Nothobranchius furzeri: one gene and its partner. Each later gene encodes a partner of the first gene's protein in a complex. Links are inferred from orthologs where the notes say so. Each region holds a gene or a part of one and is shown in the gene's direction. Other genes may lie near its edges.

What was found. The genes of interacting proteins can lie anywhere in the genome.
Region 2: smc5 (region 1) and nsmce1 share a complex: the UniProt entries of both Homo sapiens proteins name them as parts of the SMC5-SMC6 complex. The link is inferred for Nothobranchius furzeri from reciprocal best matches to the Homo sapiens genes SMC5 and NSMCE1.

The regions. Positions count from the first base shown.
Region 1 is NC_091755.1:27,651,279-27,656,842, forward strand, and holds the start of smc5 (structural maintenance of chromosomes protein 5), read left to right. Parts: upstream 1-2,171; 5' UTR 2,172-2,373; coding exon 2,374-2,537; intron 2,538-2,851; coding exon 2,852-2,993; intron 2,994-3,215; coding exon 3,216-3,268; intron 3,269-3,428; coding exon 3,429-3,591; intron 3,592-3,954; coding exon 3,955-4,089; intron 4,090-4,271; coding exon 4,272-4,412; intron 4,413-4,499; coding exon 4,500-4,661; intron 4,662-4,732; coding exon 4,733-4,804; intron 4,805-4,921; coding exon 4,922-5,177; intron 5,178-5,260; coding exon 5,261-5,415; intron 5,416-5,564. UniProt on the Homo sapiens protein: Core component of the SMC5-SMC6 complex, a complex involved in repair of DNA double-strand breaks by homologous recombination.
Region 2 is NC_091744.1:4,225,553-4,231,249, forward strand, and holds the end of nsmce1 (non-structural maintenance of chromosomes element 1 homolog), read left to right. Parts: intron 1-1,189; coding exon 1,190-1,306; intron 1,307-3,775; coding exon 3,776-3,902; intron 3,903-4,085; coding exon 4,086-4,120; 3' UTR 4,121-4,243; downstream 4,244-5,697. Other genes in the region: trace amine-associated receptor 13c, read right to left, coding at 4,829-5,697. UniProt on the Homo sapiens protein: RING-type zinc finger-containing E3 ubiquitin ligase that assembles with melanoma antigen protein (MAGE) to catalyze the direct transfer of ubiquitin from E2 ubiquitin-conjugating enzyme to a specific substrate.

The DNA.
Region 1 (5,564 bases):
TCATACTGTTGTTGACGGGGAACCTTGCAGACTCGGTGTACTGTAGCAGCAGTCATCAGTGGTTGTAGACAGTGAAATCTCATTATGCCATTCAAGATTACCTCACAACCCCCACAGGACACAGGATGCTAGATTAGTTAATTACCACAGACGCAAATACCACTTAAAACCAACGAAGCATGTAGATGACTGCTCTCCCAACAAACTCAGTCACCAACAAAAAAAGTGTTTGTGTGAATTATCTATTTGAGTACCGGTATTCCCTAAAAAATAAAGTTCTTTAAACTAGGATTTTTTCCCAAAAGGATGTCACTGTATATTTGTGAAAAATAAAAACTCCAACTTTATCACTGTTATTTTGAAATGCTCTCTCTCTCTCTCTCTCTCTCTCTCTCTCTCTCTCTCTCTCTCTCTCTCTCTCTCTCTCTCTCTCTCTCTCTCTCTCTCTCTCTCTCTCTCTCTCTCTCTATATATGTGTATACATACATATATATATGTATATATATATATATATATATATATATATATATATATATATATATATATATATATATATATATATATATATATAATTTATTTATGTGGTTTACTGGATTTAAATCAATCTGTGTTAGATTAAGATCACAGTTGCTCAGATTATTTACAGGCAATCATTTCTCAAGTTATTTTGACCAGCAATTGTGGGTTTATTTGTTAGTAACTTTTTATCAGATGTAAAGTATTCTGTGTTACGAAAAGTGCTCTACAAGTAATCTTTGATTTACTGAATGACAGAAAAATTACAAGAACAAATAAAAACATAATGAAACAAAATCACACACATTGATTTCTCACTGTTGAATTGTTTATATTTTTTAATACTAAAGAATAGAAAAGTGTCTCGTTTACAAGGAACAATTTAGTATTTTAATTTTGATTAGCCTTGCAAAGCTTTAATCCAAAACATTTAATCAATTAAACAAAACAAAACAACAACAAAAAAGAAAAATTGTTGGACTTTTCCCACAACAAACCACTAGATGGCGACAGTCTCCAAGCTGGCCATGTCCCATGATGCAACGCGTGCGCTTCCTTTTATATAGAGCCGGAAGTGTATAGCCATCATAGCATGAGTGGCTGGTTGTGTGCGTGTTGTTAGTTAGCGAGCGTCTGTGTGAGTGAATGTGGAGTATGCATGTTGTATGTGTGTATATTTTTAAAAACCTACACAGTGATCTTATTTGATCTGGTCTGAGTTTGGCTCTGCTCTGACTAGAAATGATAAAAAAAGCGCTCGCGAGCTTCTATGGGGGCGATGAGCAGCCGGCGACAAACACCTAATGGGGCCTCCACATTTCGTGCTGTGGTCAGAAGTGATGAATTGATCAGATATACTAGTTCTGGGTCGGCTTGAGGTTCGCCTTAAAGCTTTACCTGTAAGAACAATGAGTAAAGAGGCGATTCTGATCTCACCACAGCCGAAAAGAAGCCACGAGACCCGCATGTTAGGAAATGGTGAAACAAAAGTGGCTTTCATTTGTATAGATAAAGATGGATGGATGGATGATCTTTATTGACAGACTCTTATGTCCAGATTAAAAAATAAATAAATAAAACAAAACATTAAAAACAAATAAGATAAAAGCATAAACATCTAAATCTATTTAAAAAAACTTACTATAAAGATGTTCCACACAAGAGTAACCACACAAACACTTCAGCCAGTGTTTCCTTATACTGGACAAATAGCGACAAATGCTCACAGCAGGATCAGTGATTGCTAAAATTATACTGTTGGCAGAGCTATCCAGTCGTTCTCTAAAAGTGAACATTAGTTTTCTTAAAAGAGCTTTAAAGTACAAATGCCTGCTGTTACAAACATCTGACTGGCACTGCCCCCTCTGGGTATTTTGAGTATGATTCTTAAGGCATCATTGAATGCAACATGCAGCTTATTCATGCTGCTTTGATTGTAAGATCAAAATTACTGCCCAACAAAACCAAAAATACTGCTCAACCACAGTTGGGCTGTATAAAGCGGAGTACAATATGCTTTAAATAAAGCCACCTTAACTGGTGAACAAAAACTTACGTGCTATAGTATTATTGGCCTGTGCATACAGCTTACAGCACCATGGCATGTAGTCATGCAAATGCTAAAATTGGCCATTAGAGACAAATTCGGACTTTTTTATGAGCAAAAACTACACAAGCATAAAAAAAATTACACAAGCATATCCGTGTTCCTGTTTTACTTTCATACATGTTCTCGTGATAGTTAGCGTTAACATTTTTATGTACATGTGACCTCTTAAAAGCTCAGCAAAACGCGCGAGAATAAGCAACGTGATCGTAGCCGAACCGTAGCCGCGAAGAGAATTTTGTTTAGTCGCTATGGGCGAATCAAGTAAAAGACCGAGATTAAGTCAAATTAGCAGAAACACGCAGACTTCTGCGAGCAGAGCAAGCGTGTTCAGAGGTGGACACTCGGATATTGCCGGAGGCGTTGGTACATTTGTTGAGGGTTCCATCCTTCGCATCACGATGAGAAACTTCCTGTAAGTTGTAGTTCCTTAACTGTCAAGAGTTCTACCGGTAGCCAGCAAACATCACATTGTGCTCTTAGATAACATACAAGCTTATAATAGCACCATTTGTTGTTTTATAAAGTTTTAAACCTTTTGATCACGTAGTTTGCGCACAGAAGTGAACAGCTAGCATACAATTAGTGGTTTAACGGCTCAATTTTAGCTGTTTAAATATAGTGATACAATAAATACAATGTTTTGTGTAAAATTAGCTATATAAGATAACATTTTGCGCAGTGTGACATAACCGAAAACTCCTAAATGTGTTTTCTGTCCACTGACAGAACGTATGACTTCTCTGTGGTCCATCCGGGATCCAATCTGAACATGATTGTTGGAGCTAACGGGACTGGGAAGTCCAGCATTGTATGTGCCATCTGCCTGGGTCTGGCTGGAAAGACAGCAATTCTGGGCAGAGGAGACAAGGTACACAAACCACCTGCACTGGTCTACTTGATTTATTCTGAAAAAGACCATTTAAGAAAGCGATGGAGTCAAGATTTTTATTGGTTTGTTAAAATCACACTGGTAATAAAGACATATAAACATTTGCAGAAACTATTTAATTTCTGTTGTTTATGCACCACAGAGTCATGATTGCTACAAGCTTTTAATGGTTAAATAAATTGATTTAGATTATTTATGCAGGTTGGGCTCTATGTCAAACGTGGCTGCAAGAAAGGCTCTATTGAGATTGAACTGTAAGTTACTTTACATAGATTTTCCTCTATTACACTTTTTGTATTTTTAATCTAAATTCCAGATTGATGCTCTTGCATAACAAGTACCAAGCTAATGGTTGACCAGCCAGATAACATTAGACATGCTTGCATGAAATGATGTCTGTTTTTGCCTCTACAGGTACAAAAATGGAGGTAATGTGATAATTAACAGAGAGATCCATGTAGAGAACAATCAGTCACTTTGGATGCTGAATGGAAGACACTGCAGCCTGAAACAAGTAGAAGAAGAGGTCAGGACTCTGCAAATTCAAGTCAGCAACCTCTGCCAGTTCCTCCCTCAGGTAGGTTTTCTAGATGTGATCTAGCTCAGTGGCCTAGTGGCAGAGTGTCTGTTCTGGGACTGGGAGATCAGGGATTGGATTCCCGGTCGGGTCATACCAAAAACTTTAAAACTGGGACCCAGTACATCCCTGCTTGACACTCAGCTTTAAGAGGTTGGATTGGGGGTTAAACCACCAAATAGTTTCCAAGCGCAGCCACCGCTGCTGCTCACCACTCCCCTCCATGGGGATAGGTCAAATGTGCAGATGAATTTCACCAGTGTGTAATGATGACTATGTGACTTTAACTTTAGTGCTTCACTTGTGCAAAGTAAAACGTGTCAGAAATCTTCATTTTCTAACTTCTTCTCTGTTCTGTCACAGGAAAAAGTTGGAGAGTTTGCAAAAATGTCCCAAATTGAGTTGCTTGAGGCAACCGAGAAGTCGGTTGGACCACCAGAAATGTACGAGTACCACTGTGAGCTTAAAAACTTCCGCAGCAAAGAACGAGAACTGGAGGTGAAACTTTATTTTATTTGTGTAACAGTTTTTTTTTGGGAATAACTGTTTAGATAATCTAATTCCCGTTGAGATCTCAGCTATGTCAGCTGGATTGTTGTTACATGATAATTACATGTTTGCTGTTGTGAAAGATGCAACTCATCGTTTCGCTGCGGTTTTGGCGGGATGTTTGTCTGTAGAACGTCTTGAAGGAGAAGACGAGTTTCCTGGAAAAGGCCAAGCAGAGGAATGAGAGGAACAAGCTCGATGTCAACCGCTACTATGAAAAAAAGCGGCATCTTGACGTCATCGAGCTGCTGGAGAAGAAGAAACCGTGGGTGGTGAGTTATTCACATAAAGCACTCTGCACAAACTGTGGAAACAAATCCAGTTTGTAATCTGATTACCCTCTTTGGCTTTGATATCAGGAGTATGAAACCACTCGTAAGGAGCTGGAGGGTGTGAAGAAGGAGCGAGAAGAAGCCAAAAAGCAGCTTTTGACCCTGAAGCAAGCCCAGGCGCCCATGCTGAAGAAAATCCAGCAGATTGATGAAAAGCTGAAGCCCATTGAGGCAGAAATGAAAGCTAAGGTGACCGAAGGTGGCTTGCTGTCTAAATCTGTTACATGAACATTAAGTTAAACTAACCATGTGTGTTTCAGACTGCTGCTATCAAAGAAGCTTCTCAGAAGTGCAAGCAGAAACAAGATCAGCTGGATCGAAAACATAAAGAGGTGGTGGTGGTGGTGGGGTGGGGGGGGGGGGGGGTGTTGCTCAAAGAAGAGGAAAAAAAAAGTAACAATTAAATGTTTGAAATAACGTCATCCTTGTGGCTCATCTCTCCTCTGCAGATTGATGACATTAAACAGGCACTGAGGATGAAGCAGATTGAAGAGGAAGACCACCAGAAAAGAATCGTCAACACTAGACGGACCATCGAAGACCTGAAGGTGGAGCTGGACAAGCTCGGAGACCAACTAGACACCACCCTGCTGATTTCTGCTATTAGTGTGGAACTTAAGGAGATCCAGGAGAGGACAGCCAGGATTGAAGCGGAAAAGGCCGACCTGCGCAGGGAGAGGGACAACGTCATCGCAGAGTCCAGAAGTGAGTTTAAAACTAAACAGACTTTACATTTAATGATTAAAATAACAGACGGCATTGCTAGGATTTTATTATTTTAATGCCAGGCTTGCAGAAGAAGCTCAATGACATGAACAACCTGATGAACATGAAAGAAGAGAAGCTGCGGACACGCCACAGGGACACACACACCGCTCTCCTTTGGCTCAGAGAGAACAGACAGCTGTTCAGAGGAAACATTCATGAGCCCATGATGCTGGTGGTGAGTTCCATCACTGGAAATGTGTATTACTAGAAGTTTTAGTTGCTGTAAAATGCCGAAGTTTGATGTTTCAACCCACAAGTTTAGTCATAAATGTATTAAATGAAAAATAAAATCTCGTTTTCCTATAAGTAGATGTTAAAACGTAA
Region 2 (5,697 bases), on another chromosome or scaffold:
CGATGTGTGAGCAGCCTGAGCGGTCGGGTGTTTCATCTGAACCCTTAAAACCTCCAGCAGGCTACGTTGCACTATTGACGTGTTAGCGTGCGGCGCTAACAACTTAGCGACGTGACATGTCTCGGAGAAAGCGTAAAAACACGTTGGACGCTTCTTCTGAAGCGGGAAAATAACGCTTCTTCTTAAGCAGAGCACGACGTCGCCTCGGCTCGTTCACGGCCGAGCCGGACTGAGCTCGATAACACTGACCCAGCACAGCCACTGGGTCGTTGGAGCTGCCCCGTGACTGCCTGATGGAAAACCAGCGGGTTTCGTCAGACTCGTAGTTTCTTGTTTTTGCTGGGGACCCCCTGTATTTTACCGCTCCCTCCTGCAGTCTTCCCCTATTAACATTTAAAATGATTCTGTAAATTACGTGTATCAATAGAAAAAATCTCTACCTCTGCCAGCTGCAGTAAATGTAGTCTCCAAATAATAAATAAGAGGTGCATTCATCTGTGCATCTCCTTTGATCCGCATTAGTGATGTTCTCAGCACCAGAACAGGGAAGCAAAGAAACAGATTCCTGAGTTTGTTTGTAATTTTATTTATTAGGTGCATCTAACCTGTTCTATTTTTCTCTGAAATGAGATCAAATCAGTGCTTCTATGGGTTGTCTCCACACTGCACTGGAAAATTTTACTTTATTTAGAGACGTGTCACAATCACTCCCCACCCCCACCCACCGCCACAGCTGGGAAAATTCCTTGGGGAAACTGCATCTGATTCTGCTCTTATTTTTTCTAACAATATAGAATTTGTGTGTGAATTTGTAGTTGTGTGTGAGAAACTGTTACACCAAGTTGTTGACTGTTATTAAATAGCAAGCATTGTTTTAAAATTCAGTGTACATATTTATATTTTTCAGACAAACTTTAAATTGAGCTTGAATGCATCCCACAAAAACACATTACCTCCGTCTGCCACACTGAAAGGAATAAAGTTTATCCATTTAGATTTGGTTTCCAGTTCTCTGCACACAGACTTCAGGATAAAAATGCTTTTTCACAGCTAGATTATATATAAAATAACAGATCTAAACAAGTCTCTCGTAGTCTGAGTTGAACAATGACTTAAGAGATTATATTAAAGCAGTTTGTTCCCTTCTTGCTGTGTTTTTCGTGTGATTCAGTGTTGTTTACCCCCTTAGAAACGAGGGGAGTACACTCTGTCCACTCGGTGCATCATAGAGATGGAGCCATACATTCGTGCCATGTATCAAGATCAGGTCAAGATGTGCTACATCTGTCACAGCGTTGCTTTTCAGGTAATTGTTCCCTTTTTACGTCATACAACCTTTTTCTGTTGTCTCTATGCTCGGGTGGCAAATTCCTGAAATTATTTAGGTATTAATACTAGGGCTGCTCGGCTATGGCAAAAATGATAATCGCAATTATTTTGACTGAAATTGAGATCTTGATTATTTAATGTTGAGTGTATTTATTTATTTATTGTCATAAATTTGCACAGGGCACAATCAGAGAGAAAAAAAATAAAGAAACAAGATAATCACAAAACTCCAGATTCCTAGTATCTAAGAGCCTGTAACAACCATTTAACCAGTTCTTATTTTTGTTCACTAGATGTCCTTCTAGAGGTAATTGATGGTACCATATAGGGAGGAAGTACAGGTGTTGTTATATGGACAGAGCAAACAAGCTTTTAACCGCCAACTCTATGGGTTCATCCTGGTAAAATCTTCTGTCTGTTTTGGATCATTTTTTGTATTTTGATAATTGAAATTAATTTGAAGATGGAATATCACTGAGAAGAAGAATAAATTAATCTGAATGAAGCAAGATGATGACGTTTTGGACACTGTTATTCACCAGCCAGCAGTGAATGGAGACAGGTGGCAGCAAGCGTGTCCATGTCAGCGGCTTTAAGTGGAGACTCAGCCGATGCAGAGCAAATACACTTGCTCATCGTTTATGACCGAAAGGGTTTAGGCTGAATTTGAACTTGTTTACTGAAACTCTAATTTCCCTCTGGGATTAATAAAGTATTGATTGATTGATTGATTGATTGATTAAGCTTACCCAATGCAGACCCAAACATCCAACCAGTATCTTGCAAATACTGACAGCAAGAGTTATAAAGTACATTTATTATATAAAATAAATATATAAAACATATAAACATCTATGTCGTAGTGAACTTCCGCAAAATTTTCTATAAGAATTATTTGGTCCTCCAGCGGTACTGTAGGGGAGAGTACAGGAGCAATGTGTCATTCAGAGAGATGAAGTTAAAGAGCAAGTCACCCCCAAATCACATTTTTTTTTGCTGATAAACTATTTAAAGGAGTGTCTAATCGTGCTGCAGACACATGTCCTCAATAATTTGGCAGTTCAGTGCATCTTGGTTAAAATTCAAATATTCTGCCTATAACTGTCAGTGTTGTGCCGTCGTCAGGGAAAAATTCTGCACTGTAATTGAATTTAAATCTGCCACCGCTATTGGCTAAGAGGTATGCTATGATGTCATCTGGTACATTATGATGTCACAATGCCGTTGTGAGCCTGTGTGTGTGTGTGTATTTGTTAGCGGCTCCGCCCTCTCGGTCTGCCAGGCAACAGCATTTGTTGCATTTTTCAAACATGAAGTGGGAGTGAAGTAAGTTTCTTGTAGGGGGTGACTTGCTCTTTAAAGTCCCATCAGTTGTCACACACACTGATGTGTGTGCGACATTTGCTCTCCGCCTTTGACCCATCCCCTGTGGGAGCGGTGAGCTGCAGACACAGCCGCGCTCAGGAACCATTTGGTGGTTTAACCCCCCAGTCCAGCCCCTTAATGCTGAGTGTCAAGCAGGGAGGCATTGGGTCCCATTTTTTTCAAAGTCTTTGGTTTGACCCGACCAGGAATCGGACCCTGATCTCCTAGTCTTAGGGTGGACACTCTACCACTAGGTCACTGAGCTGAGAGGTGAATGATGAATGATTATCAGCATGAGAAAGTTATTTTTATCTATTTCTAACTTATTTCTATACTATTTGTTGGCAGGTCCCATCAGTTAATGTAATAACTGTCACAGGTATTTTGCACCTGCCACCCCTCTCCCTGCTTTTACAGCGATTGGAGGTGCGATCACACACATCCTCTCCTGGTCTCACGGCAATCAGGGGCACACTGTGTGTGTGTGCGTGTACAGCGTGCCACGAGTGTACGTTTTGCGGCTCAGGAGCCAGTGTGTGTCGATCCGGTTAACCTGTGAGGAAGCCGGCTCTGAGAGCCGTTTCGTTTGCGACCGACACATCGCTGCATCATTCCCTTTTCTAATCTCCAGACGGCCGGTCCGGAGAGATGGCTGAGTGTTTTCCTATCCTGCAGGAAATATCGATGACAGTTATCCAGAAAGTAGCTAAGGGTTACTAGAAATGTTTCTAGATAGTTCAGTAGGTACTTTTAGAAAACAAGTAAAAGAAGGGAAAAGCGGTTAGAAACAGCCACAAAGTTGCTAAAAGTTGTCAACGCTGCTTAGAGGTGCACTCAATTTGCAACTCGGAGTAAACCACAAGGGAGGAGTAAATAATCGGCTCGTTGTTTTCATAATCGTTCAAAACTCAGATCGTAAATGTGATTAAAATGCAATGAATTGAGCAATCTAATTCATGTTAAGAAATTAGACTTGGACAAAGTTTGAATCATGACCAAAAGTGCTGTAATATTCAAATGTAACATTAAAAGGCTTTTTATTATAAACAATATTTATTTTCTTTTATTTCTTTTCCCCAAGTGCCAAATTTGCGACAACCCCTCATGTGGAATAAAAATCCACAGCCCGTGTGTGGCCAGATACTTCAAAGGCAGAACCGAGCCACACTGCCCTTCTTGTGATGACTTCTGGCCGCACGAAATCCCAGGTTGTTATAATTATTCATAAAAACTGTTGGTACCTTTTTTTTTTTTTTGCAAAATATTAAATCTCAAAATCTACAAGGAAAATTATATTATTGACAGTTCTGTAGTTTGTTTTAGTTATAAAACACTAAATATTTCATTTGTAACATGATTAAATGTTTTATTTTATTATTTATTTTTTGCAGAGGTCAGAGGGCTTCACTCTCAGTCCAAGCGATGAGGACTTCATATATGTTGTTTTAATTTGTTCAAGTATCTCGTTTCCTTTAACCAAAGTTTGCTTTTAACATGTATTAAAATATTTATACAGAAAAAAAACCTGAATTTACCTTCATTAGTGTCTCCATGTAGACAGTTTTCAAAAGCATTCATTATTGCACTCAATTTGTGTTTGTTGCAGTGTCTATATGAGTTATTTCTGCTATGTGTACACCATATGAACATTAGTTATTTGGAATTAAAACTAATTTCTGTCCAACCATCAATAGTTGTTCAAAGTATAAAATATAATTTGATGAAGTCAGAAAGTTATGGAAAAGAGGTTTTAGCCATCGGTTGATCCAGATTCTTACATCCTTACACAGTTTTTTGCACATATTGATAAAAGAAATCAGTTTAAATAGAGAATATCCTAAAACATTTAAATGCAGAAACAATATAAACACTTTTTAGGTAGATGATTTATTGCATAAATCTATTAGTTAATGTAAAAACATGCATGCATGCTGCACAGATATGCATTATATATATATATATACATACAGGAGTAATTATTTTCTAATACAAGATTCTTGAGTTGCACATATCTTCTCTAATGAATCCTAACAGCAGGTTGCATGGCCCACGTTTTAAATAGTCCCAAGAAATCAAATCTGAGCTGCAGCCTAAATGTGCATCACCTCCCACCAGCTGTCTGATGTGCTAACATTTAAAATATGTTGATCTGAGATGAGTCCTGTTTTAGTATTTTCAGGGTGACGATTAAATGAGTAGTTTTCCTAAACCACGGGTAAAAAAACGCATATATGAGAGGGTTCAAGCAAGAATTAAAATACAGCATCCAGGACACAATGGCCCACGAGGACGAGTTGTTTGAGATGTCTCGTCCTGCAAGAGACGGATAGTAATAAGGACAGAAAGCCAGTAGGAAGACTAATATCACAACACCGAGGGTCCTGGCTGCTTTCCTCTCAGATTTCTGTGCCGTGATTTTCCCCAGGCCAACTGCAGGTGTGACATGAGACTGCGTGGCCCGAGCCTGAGACACCGCCACGACAAATACTCTGACATATAGAAGCACTATGACTGAGCAAGGCACAATAAAGGTGATCACGAGGTCGATGGTCCCACAGATGTAGCTGATCACCACCAAACACTCCCCGTAGCAGGAGTTGTATCTGTCTGGCTGCCTGAGGTGCTCCTTCAAGATGAGCCCGTTGTAGAGGAGCGAGCAGAACCAGCACAATATCACAGACACCTGGACTCGGCTACGGGTGACCTTAGAGGGGTATTGCAGAGGATAACAAATAGCAACGTAACGATCGATTGAAATCATCACCATGTTCCCCACAGAGGCCGACGTGAGGGTGAAGCCGACGATGTAAGACAGAGCGCACATGAGATCGCCCAGGAGCCAGCAGGGCTCCACGTAGCGCACTGTCTCCACCGGCATCACCAGCAGCCCCACCAGGAGGTCTGAGATGGCCAGGGACAGCAAGAGTGTGTTGGTGGGGGTCTGGAGCTCTTTGAAGTAGGAAATGGAGATGATAACCAGCAGGTTTAGAGCTACTGTGAGTA